Bombyx mori: one gene and its partners. The protein of the gene in region 2 purifies or fractionates together with the protein of the main gene of each other region. This does not show direct contact. Links are inferred from orthologs where the notes say so. Each region holds a gene or a part of one and is shown on either strand. Other genes may lie near its edges.

Region 1 (10,501 bases), on a different chromosome or scaffold from region 2:
GGAAACGTTTGAAGAAACTGTTTGATATTATGCGGCTATCTTATTTATTACACAGTTTACTGCTCAATATATTAATTTAATATTTAGTAATAATAACAACCCGTGGACCTGTTATAGACATCTTTGAATGTTCCATATGTGAAAACATTACGTTCTTTTTTTAATGAGGTATTAATAATGAGGCTGTTATATTCGAGTATTTTATTTTTAAGTCCAGTGAAATTTAAAATTAATTGTATCACGGATCTCGTTCTGGTCCTAAGACATTTTTGTTTCTTAATTATTCCCAAAAATTTAAACATATATTTCATATTATTTAAATTATTATATAAAATGTAAACAAGTACGCTTTCGCTTAACATTGCCAAGAAAAATTATTGATATTATTGTTTGAACTAGAGGCCTTTAAATGCAGTAGAGCTTGATCGATTCATTTAGTGACAGCATGGCTGGCACACCGGTGGCAGTGCGAACATATTTTCATGACAGTCCAGTGTTGGATTAAATAGTGTTATTTATTAGTCCTTTCCATGAGCTAAGGCCGCGTGACATGATGATTCTTTGTAAGCGGGGGTCATATGGTTTTTTTTGTTAAATTGTTACTACAATAAATCTGCCACTTTCAATTAATTTCATAATCCTAAAGTCTATATACGCGTGATTAAGGTGATGCTACCCCGTGTAACCAGTAACTAAGATAAATTAAAATGTAACCAGTCACTAGGTGGAAAAAAAATCATTTAAAATGACCTGGGCGAATCGATATTGTACTCATCGCGATTATTCAAGCCGCGTCCCAATGAAAACGGACGTAAAATTTGTAACAATAGCTCGGAAATAGTTTATTAGTGCAATACATCAATATTGGCTTCCGTTTTATTAAAAATTATTATGGTAAGCTATATTGGAAAACGTATATTCAACAAAACTACAACTATAATTCGGAATCTACTTCAATTGTGCTCATTTATTTAAATATATAATATTAAGGTGATATAAATAAATACTTCTATCGGTATTGATTCAAAAGACATTTCTAGTCATCTTTTGTTATTTTCACGGTATTAAACAATCGTTTTATTGATTAAAATAATGTGAAACCAAATTAGCTTTTGCTTAAATTGTGTAATTTCTCAAAAATATAATTATAACAAATTTGACAATCTTTTAATTCATTTATCTTCCATAAATATATTAGTTAAGCAATAGCTCTAGAATTTCATTTTTATTATTTGTAGCGTGACTTCTGGTAAGATTGCTTAAATCACTTTTAGTTTGTTTGATGAGGAGATTGTGTGCTGATCATGCAAGAATCAATTTCGGTAAGTTTGATTGTATCCACCTCTTTGTAGTTTTCATAGACATACAATACATATTCGTACAGGCGCCTTATTCGCCTTCAAAAAAACTTCTTTATGAATGTTTCAACTTTAATTACGCCAAGCAATTAGTGGTCGTCGCCAATTTATATAATAGTCTCTAAAATGCATATAAAACTCGTGCAAGCAATTAACAAAATGTAATTAAATTTAACACCGCAGTCTCGTCAGAGGAGTTCTTCGCTTTAGATTGTGAGGTTACAAATAATGTACTAGCTAAATATGTTTTATTGTTTATTTTTAACACTTAAACTTTGTTTTTACAGTTTCAAATGCAGGATGGTTCAATTACACATGAACCTACGATAAAAACATTAAATAAGAACAATATCTTTGCATTATCATTTATTTTTCAGTAAACCCAGAAGTGTTTCTTAATTATAACTATCTTAATATAATGTTTTAAAGCAGATAATCTAATTCGTATCTAATGAAGTGATTATTTGGGTCATTTTGTATTCTGGGATATCCTGCAACAAGTGCGTCCTGTCCTCCGATGTAAAGCGTATTGTAAATTTTCCAATAAACGTCGCGTACTTTCCTCGCTGGATGGAACAGGCCCTGTGAATGGTCATGCACTTCATTAAAGTTTTTTTGTAAATTAGTACTTTAATTTCAATATCCACAAAATCCATATCCACAAAAGTTATAACATCATAACATCTAGACATACATAATAATAGAATTTAGGATTTATAACTAGAAGATACAGAGCGACCTAAACTTTAGTAGTATTTTACATTTCCTGTCGACACCAGAAAGTCATATATTTTTACACCTAGTTCTTAGCTAGGGTACTGATGGAGCTGCCTATATGTGTCGTGCCTGCGATTTTAAGCACAAGGGCAGCCATTATTCAAATTAAGTTGAGACTTACAAATGTTGCAATTAATTGGGTGGCGTTTTCGATAGTATAGTCTCTTAACGGTATTGGGAACCGTTTAACATAACATACTCCGTGACCACATTCGAAGTGTATATAGATGACAATATTTTATATCACATATACTTCAGAAACATGAAAATAGTAGTTAGAAGACGTATCTTTTAATTAACTCTTAAAAATGTTTTGATGAATATTACAAACCTGTAATGCATATTGAAGTATTTTAATGGGACCTAGGGCAACTCGCATGCCCTCAACAGCGTCCATGAAGGCTTGCACCAGATGCGGTGATGTCTCAAAAATATTTGGCCAAACATGATTTAATAGATGTACTAAGGCATCTTCACAGCCGAAACCATACACGCCGAGCGACATATGTTTTATGGCAGCGCAAGCCGTTTGTCTGTGTACTAAATCTCTGTGAAATTTAATAATCAATTTTATTGGGGTTTGAGGAAATATTGATTAAGCTTAGAAAATAAAAAGCTTCTTTATACTAATATCCAATGAATCTTAAATAACAACGTATCTATATTACTATTCAATACTGATCTAATTTATACAACGAAAAAGGAAAATGTTTTTGGGGCAGAAAACATGTAACATACCGATCCATAAGCGCGTCTTCCAATAATGGGCAAACTGCATAAATGTAATCCTTGCCCATTTCTCCAATGTACTCGAAAAGGAAAGATAGTGATTTGAGCACACCGTTTTGAACATTTAATTCCGGTACTCTGTATTCATTCATTAAAGCAGGTAGCACTGTGAAAGGTGAACAGGTCTCTGCAACTATAGCAATAGCGACCGTTGTGCACACTCTGAAAATTAATTACATCGTTAAATATCTCTCTTAGTGCATTAGTTACACGAACTCCATCCATACACAGAAAACATCGATCAGTTTACTAGAACCGATTCGTAAGTGTCTAAAGGAAGCGTGAGAATGGTACTTTGAAAAAGCGGCGCGATACGATAACCCACTTTTTCTGTCCATCGCTAATTCGACTCAGGCGACGGAAAGGGCAAAGTCGCCGTCACCGAAATATGTCTTATCAGATCCCTTTTGGGTGCTTCTATTCTAGGCTCCAAGCATCAGTCACCGCCCTCGTCCAACTCTTCGATTACGACACAGTTCGACGAGCGAAATAACACCCACTGAGTTTTTCGCCGGATTTTCTCAGTGGGTCGCGGTTCCAAGTCGGTGGTAGATTCTGTGAATAACCAATTTTAGCGAGATCTCTCAGGTTGAGCCCTGTGAGCTGACCTAGCAACCATGGCATCGCTGAAATAGCCCCTTAGGCTACCAGAGAATATGTAGGGAAATAAAATAAGTTTACTGTAAATTTAGATGGGCCAATGTGATCATAATATATCTGAAAAAATTATATCAACTTCCTGTGACCATATTATTATTAAGAATTTATTTTGGATATTTTGGTAAAACGGGTTCTTTTATTTTGATTACCCTATGTAAATGATAATAATAATAACAAACATGCAGGATCTAACGTATCCTACTCATTTTAATAAGCTAACTAATCTACTAATAATTATTAATTAAATAATGACCTGTTCTGTCTCTCTTGCACTTTCAGATTGTTAAGTAAGGTTGCGAGTACGTCATGAGGACCGATGGCTTTAGCAATATAACCAAAGGTATTTACAGTCGCTCGTCTAATTGCCTTCTTATGAGCCTTTAATAGTTCAAGCAATTCAAAACATATTCTCATCCATTCTCTGGCCGACACAAATTCCGGTCCTCTGTCTGCAATACGACCCACTAAATCAATACAATTCTCTTGTACTTTTTCATGCCTGGAATTAAAAAAAAACATATTAAAGATTTAATTTAAAGATTCTATGAAGTTATCAAGTCACTATTTATAGAACAAGGTTACCTGTTTTTCAAAATGGGTGTAAGCCTAGGCAGGAGATCCTTTATTGGTGGGGTCATCTTTGTCATTCCAATAACATTGACAATTGCTTTTAATGCACCAAGTATAGAGCCTAGCACTTCAGGATATTCCTCTCCCAAGTACTCATACAGTACAACACCAAGATGCCCCATTAACTTTTCCTATGAAATAGCAAGCAATTAAAATTTTCAAAATCAATTGGTAATGATGTTATAAATTAAGTATATTTGGATACATTTCCTAATGTATCCAAATATACTTCAAGACAAATTAAATTCGGTGTATGGACCCCCGTTAACTTTGCGACAGTTGAGCTTGTTTGCCCATTTTGTAAAATATATTACGAAAAAATTATACTACATACTAATTTAGTAAGGAAGCATAGCGTACAAGAGGATATGGCAAAGAAAATGTGATTACCTCCTGACAAGTTTTCATCACGACAGCGATCCGAGAAATGAGATCGGCAGCTTGTTGCCGAACTTTAGCAGACTTGTTGTTCATACGCCAAAGAATAATACCACATATCTGTGGTAAATAGGGCTTTACGCGTTTTCCCAATTGATTCACGATTGTTCCAAAACCGTTCAGCATCACAACATCCTATCGAAAAATCACAATTTGAATCATATAAAGTTAGAGATTACTTACAAAAGATTTGTGTCACGACTTAAGTGTTTAAAAATCAGACATTTAAACTTTTTTTAATGTTTTACCTCAGTTGTCTGTTCTTGGAATGCATACAATATTCCATCGATAAGAGCTTCTTCGAGCTTAGAATCAATGTCTGCTGCTCCTAAATTAGCGAGAATCTTTTCAATGGACTCCATCACCATTTTTCTATACTGCTCATTGTCGTCTTTTAGATCATCAACAATTCTGTTGATAATTTCTGATGCACCGACCTGCGATCAATAGTTTCACAATGTAAGCAATGCCTGATTGGGAAAATGATTACTTTTGAGTGAATTAATGGAAATACAATGATTCTGGTCGAAATAGTTAGTACCTTGTTTGCAATTTCCACTGTGGTGTCGACAAGCTGGCGATAGTTTCGTCTGTCGAGGGCCATACGATGGTTCCAGAAGTGTTTAAAGAAATGAGGCAATATTTCATCCATTATGTATTGAGGCTCAACACCGTCGGTACCGCAACATTGTTTTACTACCTAAAATATTAAGTACAATGTGTATTAAATTACATTACAGTGATTATTGGTTTTGGTGAGATAATTAGTATATGACTGATGCATTATCTAAGACTTACAGTCTAAGCTAATAGGCATGTTTCATGTTAGACATTTGACTTTATTATTTTATCCGCAACAGCAACAAAGTTGCTTCCTAATGATAACTAATGATAACATTCTCTCTTTTCTCTATTCTATTCTTCACAATCCTGATGCCCCTATCTATCTCCGTGAACGCTTTGAATATCTGATTCCTGACGGCAAAGTTAGTCGACAAGCCACTTCTCTTCTTTTAAAAACTCCCATACACAGCTCTAGTCGCTATAGTGGCTCTTTCACAATACAAGCAGTGCGATTATGGAATTCTCTCCCTCAACCTATTCGTGCTAGTTCCTCTCTAGAAGTTTTTAAGAGTCAAATGAAGAAACATTTCCTGTCACTTTAATCGTATTTAAGTTATTGTTTTATGTATTTTTATTTATATGTATTTTTCATTTAATATTAGATTATTTTTTTAATGCTTAGTTAAAAATCATGCTTTAATAGCTCTTATATTGTACACTATTCCCCTCTTATACATCGTATTTCTCTCTGATAATGGTTTGCTGGAAGAAAACTCATGAATGAGTTAAGCTCGCCTTTGTACATAGTATTTAGAATTCTTTAAATCTGTTTTTATTGTATTTTCTTTTTGTGTACAATAAGTATAAATAAAAATAAAATAACTCATTAGGAAGCAACTTTTTTGTAGAAACAACATCGTAATTCGTTGTAAAACAAGAGAGTAGAGATCACTATTTTCCAATGGATATACAGATGTGTGTGCATATTATGTGTATGCAACAACTGGCCATCTCTCTCGCATATCTATAAATCATATTACATTAATAGCAATAATGTTATGAAACATTAAATTGTTTTTTATTTTATTATTTGAAATCTTTTGAATTGATTTGATATTGATTTGAATAGATATTGGTTAAAATCTTTTGTTATTTGAAAATTAACCCCACCCCATACCACTGCAAAATGTTTCTAAATCAGAAACTTTAATTAAGAAATGTTTATATGTAAACTTTCTTAAAACATTTATAGGCGATAGAAACATGAAAAAATCAATAAGCACCAAAAATAGAATTACAAAAGAAAAAAAAGAGACATACTTTTAAGACGATTTTTTTCATTTCTTCATCGGGCGACTGGAACTCACGAATAAGAATTAGCATCACTTCTCGTGTGTAGTAATTCGCGTATTCTGCATCCATGAGAGGGATGAGGTATCCGATGGCTTTCAGGAATGCAGCCAGACCTTTACCACGATGCGTACGAATACCTTTCCACAGAGGTTTGAGCACGGAATCGAAGGACTCGATACCGTAGGGCGTGGCGGCCTCGGCCAGAGCCGCGCTCGCCAGCGCCGTGATCGTTCGGACCTTCTGTTGTTCGTCCACCAGACCTATTGCATAAAATGAATTATTTAAATACTGTAATTTAAGAATCTTTTTTTTCCCTACCTAAGCTGAAAGCCTTGAGAAGCTATATCAGCGTAACCTTAACTAGTAGGTAAGCTCACGGGGCTCAAACCTGACGACGTTGCTAACACGAACCCTAGCAAGAGCCGTGCTTCGCAGAATCTACCACCGGATCGGAAACGCGACCCACTGAGAAGATTCGGCGAGAAACTCAGTGGGCTGTGTCTGAGGGTTAATTTACTCGTCGAGCCCTTCGTCGCAAGCGACGGGTTCGACAAGAACGATGGCCGGTGCTTGAGGTACCTAAAAGCACCGTTAGTGGATCCGGAGGATCCGAAATGACGTGTTTAGAATCAACTAGACAACCGAGACATTAGTTATGTTTAATGTAAAACTGAGCGGCGGTACAGACGATTCTATTGTGTCCATTAATCGCTAACACTAGATCGCATCTGTTCATCAACGAAAATAAAATAGTATGTAGTTAAGAATAAAAGTTGAATGTCTTACTTAGAATACTAATGCAAAAAATAAGTATTATCTACCTATTATTACAAAATATCACCAAATATTGTGTCAACAAATACATGGCGTAACTATATCTTTGGGCTACATTATATTTATAAATCGAATAGAGGTAAATATTATTGTTAAATAATAATTTATAATAATATCAATTTTATTTTTATTTTATTGCCGTAGTAGGCAGACGAGCATACGGCCCACCTGATGTTGAGTAGTTACCGTCGCTCATAGACGTCAGCAATGCCAGGGGCAGAGCCAGGCCGCTGCCTGCCGCTTAATACTCTCCACAAGCCTCGTTTGAAGAAGGACATGTCATAGCGCTCGGGAAAAACCGGGACCTTATTACATTATTACAGTAAATGTACAAATACAAAAATATATGTTTATACTAATGATCGTCGTCAAGTCATTAATGCAAAGTGATATCCAATTATGTTAATTGATTGGTCTTTAATAATGTGTAAAGTTTCAAATTAATCAGATGTTTCTTAGTTATTAAAAATTACTTTATAGGATTACACAGGTAAAAATACGGGTTAAACTAATAGAGGCATATTAAGAATACACTGATTAGATTATATTCTATGGTTTACGGAAAAGATTGGTGTTTTTTTTTTAGTATAGTTACAACAGCTGCCCCGCCTTTCAAACCGAAACGCATTACTGGTTCACGGCAGAAATAGGCAGGGTGGTGGTACCTACCCGTCCGGACTCACAAGAGGTTCTATCACCAGGAACCACTAGGTGTTGTGGCATTCCGAAAGTTTCAGTAAATCCTTAAAATATAATTAAAATATTAATCTTACCATGTTCAATAATTTCAACAAGAGATTTCAAATGTGGCAGAATAGCACAGCCCATCAGAATAGCAATTTGTTGCACAATCTTTATTCCTGTGTGACGTGCTTGCCAGGATTTCTTAGATCTGCACACAGCTTTTAAAAATGGCAATAAAGATGGAATACCTGGAAAAAAAAAGATTTCTTTTATGGTGTTGAAGATGTGTTATGTTAACAACAGCCTATGTTAAAAATAGCTTATTCTTAGGATAGGAATATAATAATAGGGAATAGCAAGTATGCAAACTTGAACAAATTATTATAATTTCCCCATAGACTTAACCATACCACTAACTCAAATCATCATGTTCATAAGACTGTCAAAAAGATTGACAGCAAACTATAAAACAGATTAAATTACATGTGTTAGTACGGACCCTGTCAGTATTTTTTTGTTTTTAGAGGAAACACCATAGAGGCATAAGACGAGGCGAGGGACAAGAAGACGACAGTAAATATGCCCTTTAAAAAATAATTAAATATTCATATGACAAAACTTACCCAAGGCCGATGCCACTACCGCAAACGCTCGAGCGGTTGTGTTTCGTACATACTCATCTATGTTGTCTATATCAGGCCTCATTGTAGAAATCATAGTAGCCAAGCCGGCTGCTTTAGCTAAATTTGAAATGATCTCGCGACCTTCGACACGCGCATAATAATCTTCATCAATAAGCAGAGGTTCAATGACGACAAGAATCTGACAAAATTCAAATAATTTAGGATAAAGAAAAATAGGTTTGTTCTAATGTCCTTAATTACAATTAATATTTTGATGTTTTCTTTTTTTTATTATAATATTTACCTTATGTACGTAGGGTCGAACCAAGTCGTCTAATTTATACAAAATCCTGTCTATGACTTTGACCAGTAGATGTCTCTCTTGATCTTCCAGCGTAGGACTCATCAGTAATGGCAGAATTTGATTGAAAAGTGGTCCAGCACCGAATTCGCGAGCTTTATCTGTTATTTGTCGTAAGGCAGCTTTGCACATGGGTGGCGTACCGTTCTGCAACATGATAATAGCATTTTGTTTTTTAATTTTTCACTCAATATGTTTACATCAAAATCAAAATGATTATTTAACGTTTACGGTAAAAATCATCGAACCTTTATTTTCAAAAGAAGCTTCATTATTTTCCGTTCCTTAAGTTCGTCGGGAGAGAGTGTATCCTCGTCGACGTCGATGAGAAGTTTGTCGAAGTACTGGGCGTCCTCGGGCTTCATAAAGGGCAGCTGCTGGTTACCCTTGGGCTGAGGGTCGAGAAGACGCGCGGCCGCCGCGGCCGAGCCGCCCGGCTCCTCCGTCTGCATGAAAAACCCGATTGGAGTACCACCCAACGGCGTGGGCGTCGCCGTCAGCTTGCGGGCCGGCGTCCGAATCGGGACGTACCCTGGGCAACAATACTTGCTATTAGGTTTTATTTTAAATTTACAATCGTAGATAGGCAGACGAGCTCAGGGCCCAGCTAATGTTAAGCGGTGACCGGAGCTTATATGCACCACAGTGTGAATGCCGCCGCCCATCTTGAGACATGTGATCGATATCACAGTTGAGTTAGTTGAATTGTGATTATTCTACCCGACAATCGCTAACACACTTCTTTATGCCAGAATACGCTGCTGCTTGGAACTCCCCCAGCACATAAGACAACAATTGGGGGGTTAAAAACGAAAAGAAGACGATGTTGTCACTACAGGTATGGACAAATTCTCGAAGAATATTAGTAGTAAGTCGTAGTTGGTGTGTTTCATCTCAGTTCACCATGTCGCTAAACTTGAGATTTCATAACTAAATATGTATAATATGAGCATGTAAGATCCCCTAGTTTTGTGTTGGACTCCACCGTCGTGTTTATAATCAACACTCTATATTTCAATATAGGCATTGTACATCAACTTCAATTTTCTTTTTGCAACTGTTACACCCTATTTATATACTTTTTTTTTATTGATTTGCTTAGCTAATGGGATGTTGTGATTGCTGGACTGGTTAATATTTTTTCAATTAATTTAGTTTTCTGTCCGGCATGGTATAGTCCAATTGTTAATTAATTTATTAAATTTCAAATACGTATTTGTATTTGAAATTCATTATATATTTTTGCTATGAAAGTATACAGCCAAAGGTAGCGCAGCTGTAAAAATCAAATATATACAGAATATTGTCTCCAGATAAAATCAGCAGTGTAAATAAAAGATATTTTTTTTATAAATCCACAGGCACGACAATGTACAAAATGTGTGATCATCTGAAAGAAAAAAGTTATATTAAAATAGTACTCTTTAACA
Region 2 (10,627 bases):
AACCTAAAATTTCTATAATTAAAACTCTTTTTTTCTATTTTCAGATTTCTATGCTGTTTGCTTTAACAGCTTATGCGCAAAATGACTCTCCTATTCCTCCGAGACTACAAATACCAGGAGCCATTCCAGTCGGAGGACCAGTCAGGCAAGGCGGCTTCAGGCAAGGAAGGATAGCACCGGTGCCTGGTTCAATTCCTAGAGTAAGAAGACCAGGATTTGCCAGACCGTCTTTTAAATCCGTGGATGCCTCACCTCGTCCAAATCTTCAGTCACTTGATGAACCTGCGAAACCTGTTACTGAAGAACCAGAAGATGAATACGAAATTAACACTCCTACAGCTTTTTCGTCCAGCGGCTACTCTACACCCGAACCTCAAAATGACTTCTACGACATCACCACCACTTCTCAGCCAAAACCACCCATAATCTTTAACCCGTTCCCACAATCTTCTCCTAGCCCGGTCAAGCTAGATCCCATCCGTCCCACGCAATACAGACCGTCTTCACCCACACCTTTCAACCCTATCAGAAACGAACCAATTAACAAACCTCAACCTGCCAGAATTCAACCACTTTCCAATAGACCTCAACGACCTATATTCAGGCCTGAAACTAAGCCTTTTGTAGAAGAGGAAGAAGAAATCCAGCCCGTTAGACAGTACACAAGACCTCAGGAGCCAATCCGCGCCCCCGTCAGAAACACACAACAGAAGTACAGCCCAACTAATACAAGAGAAAAGAAACCAGTCGCTCAAATTATTCGTAAATACAGAGATGAAAACGAGGATGGAAGCATTACATGGGGCTTCGAAAACGACGACGGTTCTTTTAAGGAAGAAACCATTGGAATAGACTGTATTACCCGCGGTAAATACGGTTATGTCGACCCTGATGGTCTTAAACGCGAATACAATTACGAAACTGGTATCCTATGCGACAAGAACAAGGAAGAAAAAGATCAGAAGGGTTTTATAGACTACCAAGAAAATAAGGCTGTCCTACCCAATGGTATCACAATAGATCTCTCTGCCATGGGTAAGAAAACCAAGAGACCATTCAGGTCACCCGTCAATCATTAGATTTAGGTATTGTATATTTATTTTAGGGACTATTTTTATAGTAGGTACATTTTAATTGTCATTAAATTGTGTCGACATTAACTCAATTTGTTGTTTATAAACAAGGAATCTGTTAAGGTTTATAAACCAACAAATTAGGTGCAATCAAAATAAAATTATTAAAGTGATAATTTGTTTTATTCATGGATTATTATATTCAGCAAAAAGAAATAAAGGAAATTGTTTCTGAACTTGAGTACATGCATGTTTTTTATTTAAAAAAATTGTGCTGCATGTACTACATGCTAATTAAAATGTGAGAAAAAGCTTTCATCATACATACCTGACGTCAGATGGAGGGGTGAAATGCCATTTGTTTTTAAAAAAAACTTCAGCTAATTGATTGGGGTCAACTTAATTAAAGTTCCATGATAAATGTCGCGTATTAAACGAAATCTCGCTTATATCAGATAGCCTTTCACCGCTCGATATGATAGTTGAACTTTTGTAGTGGGGAAAAAACTAAATCTTTTAAAAATGTTCACCACAGCGATGCTCTGGTTCTATATTTATGAAGGTTCTTGCGGGCGCGAGTATCGCCAACAGGTGATCAAAAAGAAGGGCAGGCCGAGGCTAGGTAATGAGAAGTAGACGTACCTAACAGCCCGTCGCTGGCTTCTTGCAGGCTGCAGAATCCAAGAAACGTGACTGGTGGCCGACGCGTATTGGCGGCGCTCGGCCTAACGGCTTGACAGCTCTCCTCTAATTTATTTGTGTTCGCTAAGCCGGTGTAACACTCGGACAATGACGAGGATGATCGCCCGTAGCAGTTCATAAGAGAAAAGTACATAGTGAAATTCCAAAAAAATAATAAGATGAAAATACGGCGGGTCCGTGCACAATGCGCGCAGTGCGGTCGGCGAGTCTTTTTTTTCTTTGTCTTTTTTTTTATAACTGGCCATGCAATAGGTTTTATGTCTACAACAAAAAAATAATTAATATATATACCTTCTAAATTTTATTAATATACCAGGTCAGCTGTGAGAATAATTGCCTATTGATAAAAAAAAATCCATAACTCAGGAAGGAAATTATAAGTGTTAAAACAGTATTTGAAGTAGACCTTTGGTTTTTTTGGACCTGATATTATAAATTTGTTTTTGTAATTACAAACACAAAGGGGAATGCCCATTTCAGGCCCAAGGTGGACAATAGATTAGAGAAAAAATACTTAGTGCATTAATTTTGTCATAAATAAATATGCATTTAATTTCTTCCAAATGAGCGCCACTGCAGTTTACATTAAATAATTTAAAAAAAGTAACTCTATTGAAAAAACAAGTTTTTGATTTTTGCGGGAAAAATATTGCCAGTTTGAAACCTTTTACGTATTAAGTAAACATTTTAAGTGCATAAAAAAAAATATAAATAAAACATTTTAAGTATTAACATTAATCAATGGATTTTAATCGATTATAAGCACATAAAATAACATCAAAGACATACCCATTAGACTTCAACTTGTAACCTTAAATACTTGAGACCTTATAACTTATATTTCAAGGTGGCGCATTTACATTGTAGATGTCTGTGGACTCCAGTAACCACTTAACACCAGGTTGGCTGTGAGCTCGTCCACCCATCTAAGCAGAAAAAAAACCCACCTTGAGATATAAGTTTGCACCTACCACTATTCACTCTGCACTACCTTTGGTTGACTGGTAGAGAATGCCTTAGGCATTAAGTCCGCCAATGTAAATTTTATATGAAGTGTAATAAATAAAAATAAATAAATAAATAAGTTCTAAAGTCTCAAGTATAGTTACAACGGCTGCCTTCAAACCAAAACGCATTACTGATTCACGGCAGAAATAGGCAGGGTGGTGGTACCTACCCGCGCGGACTCACAAGAGGTCCTACCACCAGTAATTACGCAAATTATAATTTTGCGGGTTTGATTTTTATTACACCATGTTATTCCTTCACCATGGATGTCAATCGTGAACATTTGTTAAGTATGTATTTCATTAGAAAAATTGGTACGCGCCTGAGATTCGAACACCGGTGCATCGCTCAACAAGAATGCACCGGACGTCTTATCCGTTAGGTCACGACGACTTCAAAATAATTAAAATAAAAACCTGACTGACTGACACTTCGCTTGCTGCTTGTGCTCACAACGGAAAAATGGTGCGTAAAATGGATGCGTTTTGATTTTTCCTCGATTTATTTTACTGACTTTGTTTTATGGATTTTATCCTCCCTTCAACGACGACTTTGGCTCAGGAGTTAAAGATCACAGCTACATTCGATTATGGATACCGATCAATAATGTTTCATACTACGACTAAGACATAGTGTGAATTGTGGTTTTAAACTGAACGAGACTCATAACCGTGGATATGCCCTCCTGCGCTATTTTTAGATGATTTATTAATTGTGTATGAAGATGAAGAAAACATAGATATTTAGAAAAACATGTGTTTTTTATACCCTAATAACTACAATTGGATAAAATTACATTAGGAACATCTCCCTTATCATAATTAATAAATTAAACATTAATAAAAGAAAAGTTCTTGAAGTAACTCATAATCCAACACTTATTTATATAGAAAATAAACCTCAAAACGATTTTTTTATTTTATTTTATTTTTATAATAGTGGTGTCAATTTCAATATATTTTTTAGATATCCAATATATTTAAGAAACAGTCCATTTTTATAGTAATATTTGATGTCCATCTTGGGCCCAGAACACTATGGAGAGTGGGTGTTCCCCTTTATAATAGTAATTTAATGAAATCCAACTTCACCCTTTAAATCAAGTGAAAGAACACAGTTGATACACATTCTTTTATTAAACTTAATTATCAGTACTGACGATTATTAATATATGGTTGTGGACGCCTCATTGGTGGTGGCATTCTGTTTGGGGGTGTTATTGAGATGTCTAGATAGTTCCCAATTTGAAATTTCAGTTGTGAAAGTGTCTTGTTATCATCGCCTCCTCTCTGTCCGGAACATGTAACTCCTATTTCCCTCATACGATATGTAGGGGAACGCATATCAGGATACACAATGGCAAAATCAAAGTATGTGCCTTTCCGTCTCGTCTCAGGATTAACTTCTTTTACAAGTCCTGTAAGTTCTCGCAGTGTAGCATCCATCCATGTATATATTTGTAATTCATTCTGAGGTACGTTTCCTCTAACATAGTCTCCAGGAGAATTATGTCGGCCAGTTGAACAAAACACACGGAGCAATAGAGGACAGGTCTGAAACATTTTAGGTTAAATTTATATCTCTATATAATCAGGAAAAAGCATAACAAATTTCCTCCTCTGTCAATTCAATTATTGTGTTTTATTTATAATCCTAATGAACGAGCTTTAGTGTTATCGAAAACAAATAGATTGTTACTTTATATCTCACATTTACAAGAAAAAATGTCAATTACGAAACAAAAAAGAACAGAGTGCTTTAGTAGACACAACGGATTTGAATGTTCTGTTGATTATTATGGTCAAATTAAAATCAGTTGGCGAACATTAATTTAAAGTAAATGCTGTTTATAGTAAAAAATAATCAATTATATTGTTTAACAAAGTACCTTTTCTCTGTCCACCGGTTTTTCTGTCGGTTTAATTTCTTCAACTACCATTGATTCTAATCCCGCCATTTTCATAATATTTGGAGAATTGTGGTCCTACTTAATTTTTCCAACTTAAGTAATTATTTAAATTATGCGAGTCTTTAAATACATGTACCGGTAAAATGGGGCGATTAGGGATTGAGAGGCGAATCGGGAAAAAACTGGGAAAATCTTTCGACGCTCAATATAAGTTTTATATTCGTTGCAAAATCTTCCATTTTTTGTAGTTTAATAGTAGAATGTTGAAAGTTCACAAAACAACTCTGAATATGCATGATAATAGCTGCTAACTTATAAAAAATCGCGTTTCAAATTAACTTCCTGTGGTGGTAATTATTTTAGTGCTAGAAACTTTGCTCTCTTTTATTTATTTGATAATAATAGAAAACGACTATGATTTATAAACGTTATTTAGTGTTTGAACCAGCATATATATTAAAGGTAAGTCTCAGTTGTTATTGGTTTTAATGTATTTGATTAAATAAAAATACATGTAAAAATCTGTTGTTTTGGGGATATTGGGGACGGCTTAGGTACAAATAACAACGAAAAAGGGGTCAATTGGGATGAGAATACGTGAAATGGAAACGAACTAAGTATAAATAGGTACAGGTTTGTAGGGTTGTCTATGTAGTTATAACAATATTTTTTAAATTTGTTGGTAAAAATCTGGTTTATTCGAAGCGAAATTGGGAATAAGTCTTTATTTGAAATAGATAAGCAATTTAATATAAGTAAGTCAATTTTGGAGAGACATGTAACAAGATCAATGAAATCTCAAGGTGGACAAAAATGTCTAAGTAATACATAATAAAATATTTAATATTTGTTCAGAGTGGGGGTATTCATCTGATTAATCCATGGAATAACCGACACACCTAATCTCTTAACCCAGATAGAAATATCAGCACTGTCGATTGCACCTATAATTGAGGTGATGTCTGCCATGTACTTTTGTCAGTTTTTCAATTTTTTTTATTGATGATCACTTTGTTGGTGCAACTAAATAAATAAATAAATTAAAACTATATATAAAAATAAAAGTAGTGCCAACCCTAGCAAATTTCTCATTTCGTCCCAATTAACCGCAATTTTCGGGTAAATAGGGATTACACCTATTTTTGCATTTTTTGCTTAAACTGGAATGCTAGTTCCATAATTTTAAATTAGACAACAAAGATGCCCCCAAGACTCAATCATTTTGATCCTGATATAGCATTATATACATCAACAACTACCTTAAAATTGATCATAAAGTTGGAATTTGTCCCTAATCGCCCCATTTTACGGTACCTTTAAACAATTTCTGATGATAAATGATTTTTTTTTTGAAGGGCTTTTATGACCTGGTAACTAAGACCTTTAGGTCAAGTATTATTTTAATTTTAATGATACGTAACTTTTTTAAATGAAAATGATATTATGAAATAAAATGAAGTTGATTATAATGAAACCTAAAGTGAAATGAAAACGAAATGAAATGACATGAGATGAGATGATATGGGATGAAGCATAATCTCAGTAAAATGGTGGTCATTTACTGAGACTTTTTCAGTGGACTTTTTGGAAGATCCCGAGAAGTTACGTTCAGTGGCTTTGTTTTATTTTCCCAAATTTGTGCACTTTCACAGATACTAAACAGTTAATAAACCACCGCTATTACACATTTAAATCTGAAGAAACACTAACTAGACAAAATAAAACAAATCACACAACTTCACTCCTCGCGTTCCCGCCAAAAGTCCATTATAAATGAATTGGTTGACTTAGCCATAGATAATACACATAATTTAAGGTCTTATATTATTTGTATTATCTATAGCTAAGCCATTATACCTACTCGAAGCGGACTCGAGAAGCGAACTTCTTGGGATGCATTATTGCTAGCATCGAGTTTGTTCAATCCAAAATTAAATATCAAACTTATGATAGCAAATTTTATAAACATGACCGAGAGAACAATTAATGTTATATTGAGATATAAATTTCATTACCATTATTTAAATGACATGTTTGACCTAAAGGTTGGAAGTACCAGGTCATAAAAACCAAAAAATTTAATAAAAATAAACGACATGTTGTTATAACTAGAAATTTATGACCATGAAGACTAAGGCCATATGTTCGAAGTCGTCGTGATTTAAAGGATAAGACGCCCGTCGTGGATCGAACGATGTGACTAATCGACTATCTCATTGTCAGTATTCAAATCTTGCAGAGAGGTTGCATTTTCTAATTAAATATGTACGTAATATATTATGTAAAGTTCACGAATACTTCCAACTACTCAGAAAATATTTCCATATCAGCTATTACTTTATAATGAGTATCGATGATTTTTTTCTTTTTGATACAAAAAACCATTTCGAGGAATAGGTTGCTGTTAATGAATATATTATAATATGAGCCAAAAGAAATAAAGTTGATTTATTAAAGATTGTAATCATTTGAGGTGAAACTAACTGAAACGACATGAGATGAGAGATGAAAGATTATGAACACAACCAAATGTTACTAAAAAAGGTTCAGTTTTTTTTTTCCTACTTATGCTGATAGCCTTGAGTGAGAGCCTATTTCAGCTTCGCCCTAACGTGTAGGTGAGCTCAGGGGGCTCAAATCGGAGTGTTGCTAACACTGGCCCTAGCAAGAGCAGTGTTTCGCAGAACCTACTACCGCATCGGAAGCGCGACCTACTGAGCAGATCCGACGAGAAACTCAGTGGGCTGTGTCTGTGGGTTAATTCGCTCGTCGAGCCCTTTGTCGCAGGGGACGGGTTCGACGAGGACGATGACCGATGCTTGTGGTACCATTCAGTCTACAAGATCGGGTATGTAATTTCCAGCGGCCACGACAAGAGGGTTCCCGTGTCATGCAGCCTTCTCAAAGTGGCGCAATGATGCCGACTCTAGATATTTACTGACTAAGTCGAGCTCCAGGTCATAATGGAGATCCACGTTCCTTACCATGGTGCTCCGACGGCTATCCTGCAAAACGGGATTGAATAACCTGAAGGGATTTGAAGTTGGTGCGGGCCGCGTGAGCGAACACTACACTTGCATACGTCATGGCGGGGCATATGCAAGTTTTGTAGAGAGATTCAGTAAAATGGTGGTTATATACTATGACTTTTTGGACTTGTTTCATTTTTCATACTTGTGCACTTTCACAGATACTAAGCTACCTTTTATTCTAAAAAGGATGTCATTGTCCTCATAAACTACACTGACATTGTTTCACAGCCACGTGGACGAAACCGCGGCTAACGGCTAGTAATTTCTATCACTATTTTATTAATTGTATAGCTAATGTTTCCGTTACTGAAGTACAATATCTCTGATAACATGTTTCGATTATTGTACACCGCATTAATAAATAAGTCATAAAAGTGTTCAAAACTACCTATAGATAATAATACACATAAACTAGTAGACTACCGTCATTTTATATTAGCAGTGTCTTTAGGTTGTCAATAAGATCATAATGTCCTATTATTTTGGCAGAGAATGCAAGGAGCGAAGCTATGTTAATTTTGCTTTATTTTGGACACCGATGAATATTGTGACTTTGAGAACAAATTCGAGAAAGAGAGAAATATAAGAAGCCGAGAATAGCCTCTTGACATGGCTTCTACCTGTCCTTGTGAAACTGGAATGGCCTTCGGGCCACCAGTAAGCCCTCAATCATAAAAAAAGGCTTCTCCTAATATAGTAAGTTTTAGTAAGCTCTCGCTTTTTACTGTGGCTTATTATTGAAGGTTGAAGAATTTGAATAGCTAACATTAGACTAAAATACTGAATAGCTAATGGTCGTTCAGTACGGTACTTTAAACTAAAAAGCGATTTCAATCTTCAGTTTTATAAAATATGTGTATTATCTATGTTCAATCGATAGCTGTCAAATACCATAAATACAGTCAAATTGAAAAATTCATTAAATAAAATATCCTAAGCGCTAACAGTAGAATTGTTAATGGTATTACTGTATATAAATATTCAGATACTGTTATATACGTTACACAGTAGCGGGGAAACATGGCACACCAAGAAGACTACGATCTATTTCCCGAAGAAAACGTTTACATAAATCCAGAAGATGGAATGCCTAATATTCATCCTAATATAGTTAATTTTGAACAAGAAAGTGATACTCAAGATGAAGTCGACAACTTTGATGACCTACCTAAATCTGTTATTGTAACAAACATTAATAGCATCGTTTTTTCTGATGAAAAATTGAAAAAAGAGATGGAAGACTTATTCCGTACATTTTCGGAAAATGTAACGTTTCAGTGGCTCCGCAGTTTCAAAAGATTACGCGTTAATTATGACAACCCCTTAGCTGCCGCAAATGCACGAATTCAATTACATCAATACCAATTTTATGATTCATGCATAAATTGCTATTTTGCCCAACCTGTGACACCAATTTCATTTAAGAATCTCAGACCCCCGGCGCCTGTTAAGCAATTTTTGATTTCACCTCCATCAAGTCCTCCAGTTGGCTGGGAGCCTCGAGAAGAAGGTGAACCCATTGTGAATCATGACCTTTTAGCGGCACTTGCAAGTTTATCTCCTGGTGAAAGTCGAGAGCTACACGCACCCACACCAACACAACCAGCCATTGTAGTGCACACTGCAATATCAGAGGTTTCTCCTCCGCCTGGTGCAAAAAAAATTCCTCACACTCGTTGTCCAGAATACTGATAAAATGCCTTATGAATTAATAATGTTGACATAAAATAGAATTTTAATGCTTTTATAAAAAACTCATGTCATGTTTGTGATGTGTAAAGCCAAAGATGTTAATTTATTTAGCTGAAAAATAGCCATCATGGAAAAGGCATAGTTGTATATGATAGTCAACTCAACTCACCAATGATAAACTACTTAATTTGTTATAGATTTGCATACTTTTATTAATTAATCATATTGTAAATTCAATTGAAGTTGGATTGGTGCTACATTCTATTAAAGGGTAATCATAAAAATTGTTTTACAAACATTTTATGGTTTAATAAGAAATTTAATCTGAATAGTTCCAGACAGAAGGAAAACCAATTGTGCGATAGAATTTTAAATTATAAATATTGTTAAAGTAATAGTTTAGTAAGCTAAAAGCCTGCAGTTATGACTATAGTTCAAAACATATCAGTCATTGAAGCATATTAATGAAAATACAAAAGATTGCTTTCTTGAGCTTACAAAAAATATGAACATATATCTTTTTTATCTTACATATTATTTTGTTACTATTTGCTGTAGTTTATTTTATTTGCAATATGAACATCATTTAATATTGTTTGGGCTTGTTAATAATGTTTTCAGTTTGTGGGTATACTTGATTCAAAGAAAAAAAAAAGTATTGTCACATTTCTTATAATGTTCCTGATACATTTAACTGAAAATTTTCATCAGTTTAGTTTCAGATAAAATAAAAAAGTGCTATGGGACCCAAAATTCTTGGGAGGAACTGTTTGTTTTTGAAGAGGTTTCTATATCTACTCATTCTCACCTTATATATTTAATTTTAACAAAAAAAAAGAACTTTTTACTTACTTATTGGCTTCTTTGACGTTATTAATATTATTTGCAAATACTATTAGTGATAATATAGTAATATTATGTTAATAAAAGATGTTCTTTAAAAATAACCAACATTTTTGTTAATTTTTTTTAAGAAACTTATAAATTCGAATTTATTTTTGCAGCTGTTGAAAATTACTAGTTAGATAAGTGTTATAAAAATTTAGACATAGTTAAAAAGTTTTGTGATAAAACAAAGTGACACAAAGTTTTGTAAATAATAAAATTATTTTTGAGATTTTCGAATATTTTAAGTACAGATAAAATGCAGTAGTAAAAAAAGGTTTGTTGACTTTTACTAGGAAGCATAATTTATCTGGTTGTCTAAATTA
Region 3 (8,856 bases), on a different chromosome or scaffold from region 2:
TCCGTCCAGTGCGACACACAGGCCCCCGGTCGTGTCCTACAGCCCGCGACACTAACATCCGTGTTCCGATCCTGACTCACACCTCCAACGATCCCATCCAAGCACATCCAACGATCCAAAGTCGATGAAACAAAAGAAAATTACTTTAATTATACATGTCAAACCTTCTGTCTTATTATACATTACTACGGTGTCAGTGTCAACAACGCTGTGCCTCGTGGACTATTTTTTTTTATTTTACAATTTTAATAAAAAATCACCTTTACAATGAAATATTTAAAAGAGATATTAATATATGGATGGAATCGTGAAAGATTATATTGAAAATGTATAATGGTTTCCATCAGAGTGGTTCAGTCGCAAACTCGCGGGTGTTTGCTCTAATATCTAATACATTACAATTTTGAGACCATCACCAATTCATAAAATAAATTTTTAAAATTAAAACAGTCAACGAAACAAAGTATTGAAAGGCACGTTCAAAAGCAAAAATTCCTAAACAATAGTCTTTGTGAAATATATTTTTAAACAAGTCATGAGTTTCTACTGTGAAGTTTCAAAATCGTCAATGTCAATATTCTGATTATTGACACATTTTTTATAAAAAAATTGTATTGTTAACTCATCATCCAATTAGTAGAATTTAGAGAATGCTTTGGATAAAACTTGTTTTGAGATTTTAAAAAAACAAAAGCAAATTATAAATAAAGATTCAAAATTGTCTAACAAAACAAAAAATTGGAGGTTTTTGGATTTAAACAGAACAAACACCTTTGTGTGAATTAAAGACGATACAAATACACAACTAACTGTTGGTCAAATATAAAATTGCTTACAACTTTGGAAAATTGAAGTATCCCTTTAATTTTGTCCATATCCAATTTAGCATGAGTATTACATTTTCATTACTTAAAATTCATTTCATCCCTATGCATCTGAATCTATTATACTTTACATTTTCATAAATAAATTAAAAAATATTATGTCTCAAGTCTTGTTTGAACAAAAACATGGTCCTAAGGTTTGTAGCCTCACTGTACAAGTGAACTCGCGTAATATTAGCTCATACCCTACAGTTAGTTATCAATTCCCAATTTAATAATCATTGCACAATTTGTAGGACATTACAGTATGAAAAGCAGTACCGACGAAATTCATCTCAAAACAGTCTCCAAAGATACAGTGAGAGCTAACATGTAATTTTTGCATTTGAACGTGAATGTTTGTTTGTATACAAGTGGGAGGGCTTATGAACTACAAACAGCTGGGAGTCGCGGCGGCACCGGGGGCGATGACCTCTCGGCGCGTGTCACTGACCTCTACGGCTGCACACAAACACACAGAATTGTTCATCTTCTTCATTTTTTTAAATTTTAAATTTATTATGTTTTATTATTTTATTATGAACACCAGTAATTTATTATGCACATATGTTGGGTAACAAGTCAGTTCACTGTGTGTCTGTCTTTATACAACCCGCACTTAGCAATCCTTTTAAAGAGAAAAGTACCCTCACTAATACACAACAAAATCTATTTTTAATATCATTATCTATCTTTTATTTATAACAGTACATTATTGTCTTGAACAGTTTGTCGTAGTTATACTACTTTTGATGCACTGAAACGGTCTGGAGAATTCGCACATAATAGATAGTGTGACGTTAGTAGATAAAATTACATTAGAAGTGAAATTAGTACTAGAGAACTCAACAAAATTGTTAGATCTAAATTTATTTTCTGTTTTTTTTTTAGTTTTTTATTTTAGTTTTAGCATAAAAGTTATGTTTTGAGATTCCTTTTGTGTATATATCGCCATTTCCCATTTTGGGTTCCTAGAGTAATTGGCATAGTGGATTATTTTTAAAATCTGTTATAGTGGGATCTTGTCTGTCATAGGCTGTGAAAATATGTCGTTTTTTTTTAAATTCAGTATGTTTTTATGAACACAGCTACAATATAAAAACAATCATTTCAACTTGATGACATCATTAGATGATAGAACCACTTATTATTTAAAATGAAGTTCTGATAATCATTAAAGTCAGTTGCTTAGTTCACATTTGCTGTCCAGTAGATTTAAAAAACTACTTAATTATTAGGTAAATGTTCAATTTCAATGTCTCTAAATTATAGAAAACATTTGTACTTACCGATTGATTTTGACAAACCAACAATGTCGGTAAACATATGGTGTGCATTAATTGTAATCAAATGTTAATTGTGCTTAATGTTCATCTTTATAATGTTTACATTTTATGAAAATCTGTATCCTTAGGGTATCCCTGCACGGCCATGCTGACCAGATTATGATTCCTACTTTCGCTAGTTATCTATAAGACTAAATTTATCCAAGTCCATTAAGTTTTTATTAATAGAATGGTAGTTTTATCCACTGATAAATAATCCATGTTTCTAACAATGTATGAACATTATAGAGAACCTACCAAATGTGAACAGCAATGTTTAATTAGATATAATCTCATAAGAGTACAGTACCTTGTGGGAGTCAGTAGTTATGTGACCGCGAACGGGAGCGTGAGCGCGAGCGCGAGTAGGAGCGTCGCACCGGGGAGTAGGTTGGGGTGCCACGACGCCGCGGGGAGTATGACCGAGACCTTGTGAAGAATATATCACCTTAGAACAGGGGTGGGCAAAAGCCGGCCCGCGGGCCGGATCCGGCCCTTTTGCTAATTTTATCCGGCCCGTTGAAAAATTCCGCACATAAATTTTTTTAAACTCTTTTATGAGATTTTGCTGACATCAGCATTAAAAAAGCATATGCGGTAAAAAAGCATATGCGGTATAGTCCTCCGGCCCGGGAGACATTTTGAAAATTTCATTTTGGCCCGCGCTTTAAAGTATTTGCCCACCCCTGCCTTAGAAGTAATTAACATCTTCTTAGCAAAGACAGTTTTAATAGTACTAAGTTATCCAACACAATTGTTAATGTCCAAAGGTGGGCTGAGATAACAAAATCGATATATATAAAAATGAATTGCTGTTTGTTAGTCTCGCTAAAACTCGAGAACGGTTGGACCGATTTGGCTAATTTTGGTCTTGAATTATTTGTGGAAGTCCAGACGTTTAAAAGGTAAAATAAAATTTTGTTTTTCCTTTGATGTGTCCCCCGTTGGACGGATTCCTTTTGTTTGTTTTAAGTTTATTTTATACAATAGTTAGGTCTTTTATTTATCGATTGAGGCACTACGAAGTCTGCCGGGTCAGCTAGTTTAATCAATATATTTGGCCAATTAAATGATATAGTAGTCAGTTAATGTAGTAATGGTATGTAGTGGTACCTGTCACCGCCGCCGCCACCACCGCCACCGCCGCCACCGCCATAGTCTTCCTTCACACGTATATATGTCACCTCACCCTGGAAATGAATATTTAATAGACGTCTAAATCTTGCACTACATGACACTGCTTGCTTTTTAAATTTCTTGAGTTGATTGTAAAACGCTTTTACAGTGTAATATAGCTTTCTTTTCATTCATTTTATAATCTTCATCATCTATGACCATAAGGTCTGTAATATCAAGATTAAGAAAGTATGGTTCAAATTTGATCCATGGTTCAAATTTCTTTTGTAATATCAATATGAAAGCAAACTCAGTTTACTTAAGCTGAGATGATGTTTTGTTGCCTCACATCTCATTTTACATTCCATTTGTTCTTTTCAATCTCATATCAGTTTTTCTCAAACTGAAATTACTTTACCATAATTGACAAGTGAATTGTTTTTTAAAAAAAATATTTAACTGTATGTTGAAAGGACAATCTCATTTTTTATAATTCAGTAAACAAATTGGTAACAAGTATGGGCAGAAAAAAACATTGAAAAAAAAAAAAAAAAAAACTGGTATTGCAAATAATCAGAAAAAGGAGACAGCTTAGTCCAACCTAGCTAAAGAATTCAAAAGTTTGTTTTGCTTACTTTATTTACTTGAGTTTTACAGAATGCAATTTTGGACATTATAGATATCTACTGAGTTTGACACAAAATAACAGTTGTTGATTTTGAGCAGCTATTTGTAAATGAACAGTTTAAGCACTATCCCATGGTTTAATTTCTCCTTCATGAGCCTTAAACTTCTAACTAATTCAAATTAAACTATAAAAGTATTTGACACAATTGATTATCTTGAAACTTTTATGTCCACGTTGGGTAACAATGATAAAAAATTTGGGACAATCCACCAACAGTACTGTTCTTTCACATTACAGGTTATGTTTATAATTATTTTCAAATAAAGTGGAAGAAACTAACCTCATGACTCCTAAATCTAGAATCATCTAACTTTTTAACAGCATACTTCATATCTTCATGCCTCAAAAATTCCACAACACCAGATCCATCTTTAAAGGTGTCTGCAAAGCATACGTCGCCGGCCTCTCGCATATGGTCTTTGAGGTCCTGCCAGGAACCCGAGGGCGGTAAGCCGGTAACGAGCACGCGGTATTCAGAGCGTCGAGCGGGCGGACCACGTGCTGCCCCTCGTCCACCCCAACGGTCACCACCGCCTCGAGAACCACGAGAGCCTCCACCTCCACCTCCACGAGGGAACTCGACTCGAAGACGGTACCCATCATAGTCGTAACCATCCCTGGCTCTTACTGCATCATCTGCATCTCTGAATTCCAAAATAGATTTTATTAAAATAACTTGTCTCAGATTAATTTAGGTAGATATGACTGTATATTCTACTAGGAGTGAAACAAGGCAGGCTCTGAGCTGTGCACCTGGTATTCTTGACGTTCATTAGTGACAGTAACAACTCACCATGAAGTGGACATATCTAATAAAAGAACCAATCACACACAGTTTTGACATCACTCATTGTGTAATTTTAATTTAATATGTTGTGTGTTTATATGTGTGTTATAATTTTATATAATTGGCAATAATCAGCAAATTTTATTGATTTTAATTTTTCTGAAATAATTAGAAATCATAGGTGAATATTATTAGATTTATGGATACAGGTGCTCTGGCAGACTATTAAATCTGTGCCACCCTTCATATATTTTAATATGTGCCAACTTTTAAACTAATTAGTTGTCAATTAATCATAAAATAATAAATGATTAATTGTTAATTTAAAGTCCCATTTTCATTTATCAGTAAAAATGTTTACTTAATCTGTATCTGTATCTGTGGTGTGGAAAATTATATTAACGCTGAATAAAATTGTTCATTTCGCTATAGTCGGGTACAGATAGCGGTGTATGCGGCATAACGTATGCGCTCTTTTAAATCTTCTTCAAAGGCAGCTGAACATTCCGTCCACCTGACACGGGATGATTATCGCTACTCAGACATGGACAACGTTAGTAATATAGATAGCCCGTTTCTCTTTTCGAATTCAACACTCACCTGGGATCCTCAAATTCCACGAACGCGAATGGCGGACCTTTTCTGTTCTTTAGGTCAACGAACGTTACTTTTCCGAACTTGTAAAACAAGTCTTGAATATCCTTTGTCCTTATGTCCGGTGGTAAGTTTCCAACATATATACGACACTCATTTCTGTTGCTACTGCTTCCACCCGACATTATAGCTAAAGAATATTACTATTGCTTAAACGTTTACTTATTATTATGTTGGCTTCATCGACTAATTTCACCAATCCGACGCTTTACTGTGTGTAATTGAAAGTCGGGCAATATGGCGTCAAATGTCAATGTTCCGATTTTGGATCACGGTGGATTTGACAGAAAAGAAAACGATAATCATGAAAACGGAAGTGGAAAAACCTGGTCATAGATTATAAATATGTGGCTGTATAATTTTTACAAAAGTCCGTGTGAAAGGATTTATACAAAGATGTGTATGTAGTCGTCCGGCACATTTTAAAACTAAACACCATAAAATTGAATAATTAATCTGAAATGTAGTTTGCTTTTGGTGATATCAGGATCAGGACACTTATCATTCTTTCCTGCTTGTCCGGAAGTTTCTGTGTCGAAATCAGTACCTATAGCGTGTTTTATAGGTCTTTCTAATTTCGAGCCCGCTGCCCTTCACTTTTGTTAAATGGAAATTAATATATAGGCTGATCAATATTGGCAGTTTCGAGTTATGTTAGTAACATTAAAGTATGGGTTTTCCCATATAAAATCAGGTAGGAACTTACTAGAGAACTTGTACTTGAACTTGTGCTTAAGGTGTCATCTTCTTGAATGGATTAAATAAAATAAAATAAAATAAATAATACAATAAGGCTATGCGTCATGATAATCGCCTTATTGGTGCCACCGTTGATTACTCCTCGAATTCTAATCATGCAGGAGCCAGTCACCGTTGATGCCCTAGACACGTCCTTACGGATCCATCAGATCCAATAACCTTTGCATTAGAAGCCTTCAGCTCTAACACTAGTAGCAGGCTCAGGGACCCCGGTAACCGTACTCATAGAACTCGACAAAGAGTTCGACGTGCAACCTAATCTATGTATCAGCCCGCTGAGTTTCTCGTCGGATCAGCTGTCAAAGCAGCTACTCTTGAGTTGATAAGTCTCCTTCGGAGGCGCTCGGGCAGCTGTTAAGTAATCCCACCCCTCCTGGCTGCGCTTTTGCTCACCTAACTGTCCTGGTGAAATTAGTGTAGGGGAAGCTTAACGACCGAGGGAAGATCTTCCATCGAGCTGGTGATATTGCTCGGTAGACCGACGGTCCGAATGCTGTTGTTCGGAACTTGTATATATGCGCTTTAACTTGAAAATGTCGTAAGCGAGATTCAGACATCTGTCAATTATCTTGCGTTGTATGATGGCTACCCGCCACATCACTCCCCTCCGAGACTGGAGGTCGTGTCATTTTTAGTTAGCGTTGTCCATGCTGAGATTAGCTTGCAAGGGCCAGTGCTGCTCGAAGCCTGCGGTGAGTCGAGGCTGAGCTTGAATTGCTGCGTGATTGTCGCTAGTGCTGCTCGTAGTCTGCGGTGAGTCGAGACTGAGCTTGAATGCTGCGTGATGAGGCAGTGTAGGTGCGTGCCGTAGGAGCAGGAAGCGCGGTGAGTCAGCTGCGATGGTCCTATCGAGGCTGCGATGCTGGCTTGCTGTGGGACTACTGTCGATGACTTGCTTTTATCTGCGAGAATTGTGGTAGCCGAAGTTCTTGATGCGCTGATGATGAAGTGTGAAGGCTGCAATGGTTTCGTCGCAGGTCACCAGTTTGTAGAGATATACGACAAAGGGGAGATCTTCCACCGAGCGGGTGATATTTGCTCGGTAGACCGACGGTCCTAATGTTGTTGTTTGGAACTTTTATATATGCGCTTTATTTTGAAAATGTCGTAAGCGAGATTCAGGCATCTGTCAATTATCTTGCGTTGTATGATGGCTACCCGCCACACTAGAAAGGCCTCAGGGCCACCAGTAATCCTTCAATCACAAAAAAGCTTAATGTTGAGGATACTTAGCATTAATAAGAATACTTAGCATTGATAAGAATACTTAATATGGAGTCATGTAGAGGAAGTCCAAGCACGCGTCCGAAATCTGCCGGCTTACCAATATACACAAGCAAATGCGAACAACTTATACTAGTTTATTTTATTCATTGGAAAGGCAATAGAAACGAAGCCTTAAAAGCTATTTATATACGATGAGACCAATGAAAAGCGTTTGTAAATTTCGACACTCTTTTTGGCAGGAACTATTTTGTTTTGTAATTTAGTGTTTCTTCAGGTTTAATCGTGTAATAGTGGTGGCTTATTAACCATTTAGCATCTGTCCAAGTGCATATGTAAGAGAAAATTAAAAAAAAAAGCTGCTGAACCTGGCTTTTACAAAGGTAATATAAGAAAGCTCACTGTGGTTTGAGTAAATAAGTACCATTTCACGGAGCTATTATTTCATCCCAGTTCATCTCATTTCGTTTAAAATCTATATCGAGTTCAGTCTCAAATAGATCAACTTCATTTCATTTCACTGCATAAACAATTCCTCATGATTCAGCGAAGCACTGCTCTTGCCATAGCAGATATTAGTAAACCGTTTTAGGTTGCTCCCTGGAACCACTGTCCTAACGTGCTGGCTCTAGATTTTACGATGGTATATATTACACTACTATTCGAACATTCGATTTTCTAAATTAGTAGTAGTATCCTTGACAAAAACCTCGTTTTGTTGAAGATCTTCTTGTAACTGTACTAAAGAATAAAATATTCAAGTTTAAACACGAGCATTGTAGGCAGTATTTTTCACTGTTTTAATTAGCCAGTAATTTAATTATTGTTTTTAGGGAAAATTATTATCATTCCTTGTAGATCAGGCCACTAATAAACCAAATACGCTGTTTGACCATAGAGTTTAGTTTTCGAAAATTTGAATTGAATTTAGAACGCCCTCTCGCGCATGTCGAGTGCAATTTTGTTGAAAGAAGCCTGTGAAAGAATCCTCTGGAAAGTAGGCATCGAATCTCCGGTTATCAAAATCTTAACGTGAGAATTTGTTCATTTATCGAAGCAAAAGTGAGTATTTTCAGTATTATTTAAGTAGGAATATTTAAGCATTGTCAATGTTTATTTAATATAATATCGGTTTTAAAGATTTTTTTAAAGAACGATGTTTCACGTACTACGAAAGGCGGGTTATAGAATATTTCAAGTTTCGCGATAATACAACAGATGCTTGTATTGATTCAACATTCCCGTTTCTATAGAAATTATACTAAGGTGAAAACTTACACGGCGCTGAGTCATTAGCGCTTGCTGTGTGGTAGCTATCTAATTTATTTGATGACGGGTATAAGCGCCAGTGCTTCCGTTCGAATTATCACTAGAAAACCTTCTGATACCGTTTCGGTGCTAAGGTAAATAAATGTAGATCTAAAGCGTTATCATGAATCT

Evidence for each region.
Region 1: the proteins of histone deacetylase complex subunit SAP18 (region 2) and splicing factor 3B subunit 1 purify together in Homo sapiens (co-immunoprecipitation; 3 studies listed by BioGRID and IntAct, with this or other methods). This does not show direct contact. The link is inferred for Bombyx mori from reciprocal best matches to the Homo sapiens genes SAP18 and SF3B1.
Region 3: the proteins of histone deacetylase complex subunit SAP18 (region 2) and serine/arginine-rich splicing factor 1A purify together in Homo sapiens (co-immunoprecipitation; 4 studies listed by BioGRID and IntAct, with this or other methods). This does not show direct contact. The link is inferred for Bombyx mori from reciprocal best matches to the Homo sapiens genes SAP18 and SRSF1.

What each region holds. Positions count from the first base shown.
Region 1 is NC_085116.1:8,406,529-8,417,029, reverse strand, and holds the end of splicing factor 3B subunit 1, read right to left. Parts: intron 9,604-10,501; coding exon 9,320-9,603; intron 9,219-9,319; coding exon 9,015-9,218; intron 8,910-9,014; coding exon 8,711-8,909; intron 8,336-8,710; coding exon 8,177-8,335; intron 6,830-8,176; coding exon 6,537-6,829; intron 5,353-6,536; coding exon 5,194-5,352; intron 5,090-5,193; coding exon 4,901-5,089; intron 4,788-4,900; coding exon 4,605-4,787; intron 4,346-4,604; coding exon 4,167-4,345; intron 4,084-4,166; coding exon 3,838-4,083; intron 3,087-3,837; coding exon 2,874-3,086; intron 2,684-2,873; coding exon 2,467-2,683; intron 1,941-2,466; coding exon 1,782-1,940; 3' UTR 1,601-1,781; downstream 1-1,600. UniProt on the Homo sapiens protein: Component of the 17S U2 SnRNP complex of the spliceosome, a large ribonucleoprotein complex that removes introns from transcribed pre-mRNAs.
Region 2 is NC_085129.1:7,369,908-7,380,534, forward strand, and holds histone deacetylase complex subunit SAP18, read right to left. Parts: upstream 4,995-10,627; 5' UTR 4,747-4,994; coding exon 4,672-4,746; intron 4,337-4,671; coding exon 3,932-4,336; 3' UTR 3,901-3,931; downstream 1-3,900. Other genes in the region: uncharacterized protein LOC101740121, read left to right, coding at 45-1,079; protein sarah, read left to right, coding at 8,745-9,416. UniProt on the Homo sapiens protein: Component of the SIN3-repressing complex. Enhances the ability of SIN3-HDAC1-mediated transcriptional repression. When tethered to the promoter, it can direct the formation of a repressive complex to core histone proteins.
Region 3 is NC_085122.1:426,924-435,779, forward strand, and holds the start of serine/arginine-rich splicing factor 1A, read right to left. Parts: upstream 5,778-8,856; 5' UTR 5,559-5,777; coding exon 5,380-5,558; intron 4,637-5,379; coding exon 4,273-4,636; intron 3,379-4,272; coding exon 3,302-3,378; intron 2,618-3,301; coding exon 2,509-2,617; 3' UTR 2,499-2,508; intron 1,326-2,498; 3' UTR 1-1,325. UniProt on the Homo sapiens protein: Plays a role in preventing exon skipping, ensuring the accuracy of splicing and regulating alternative splicing.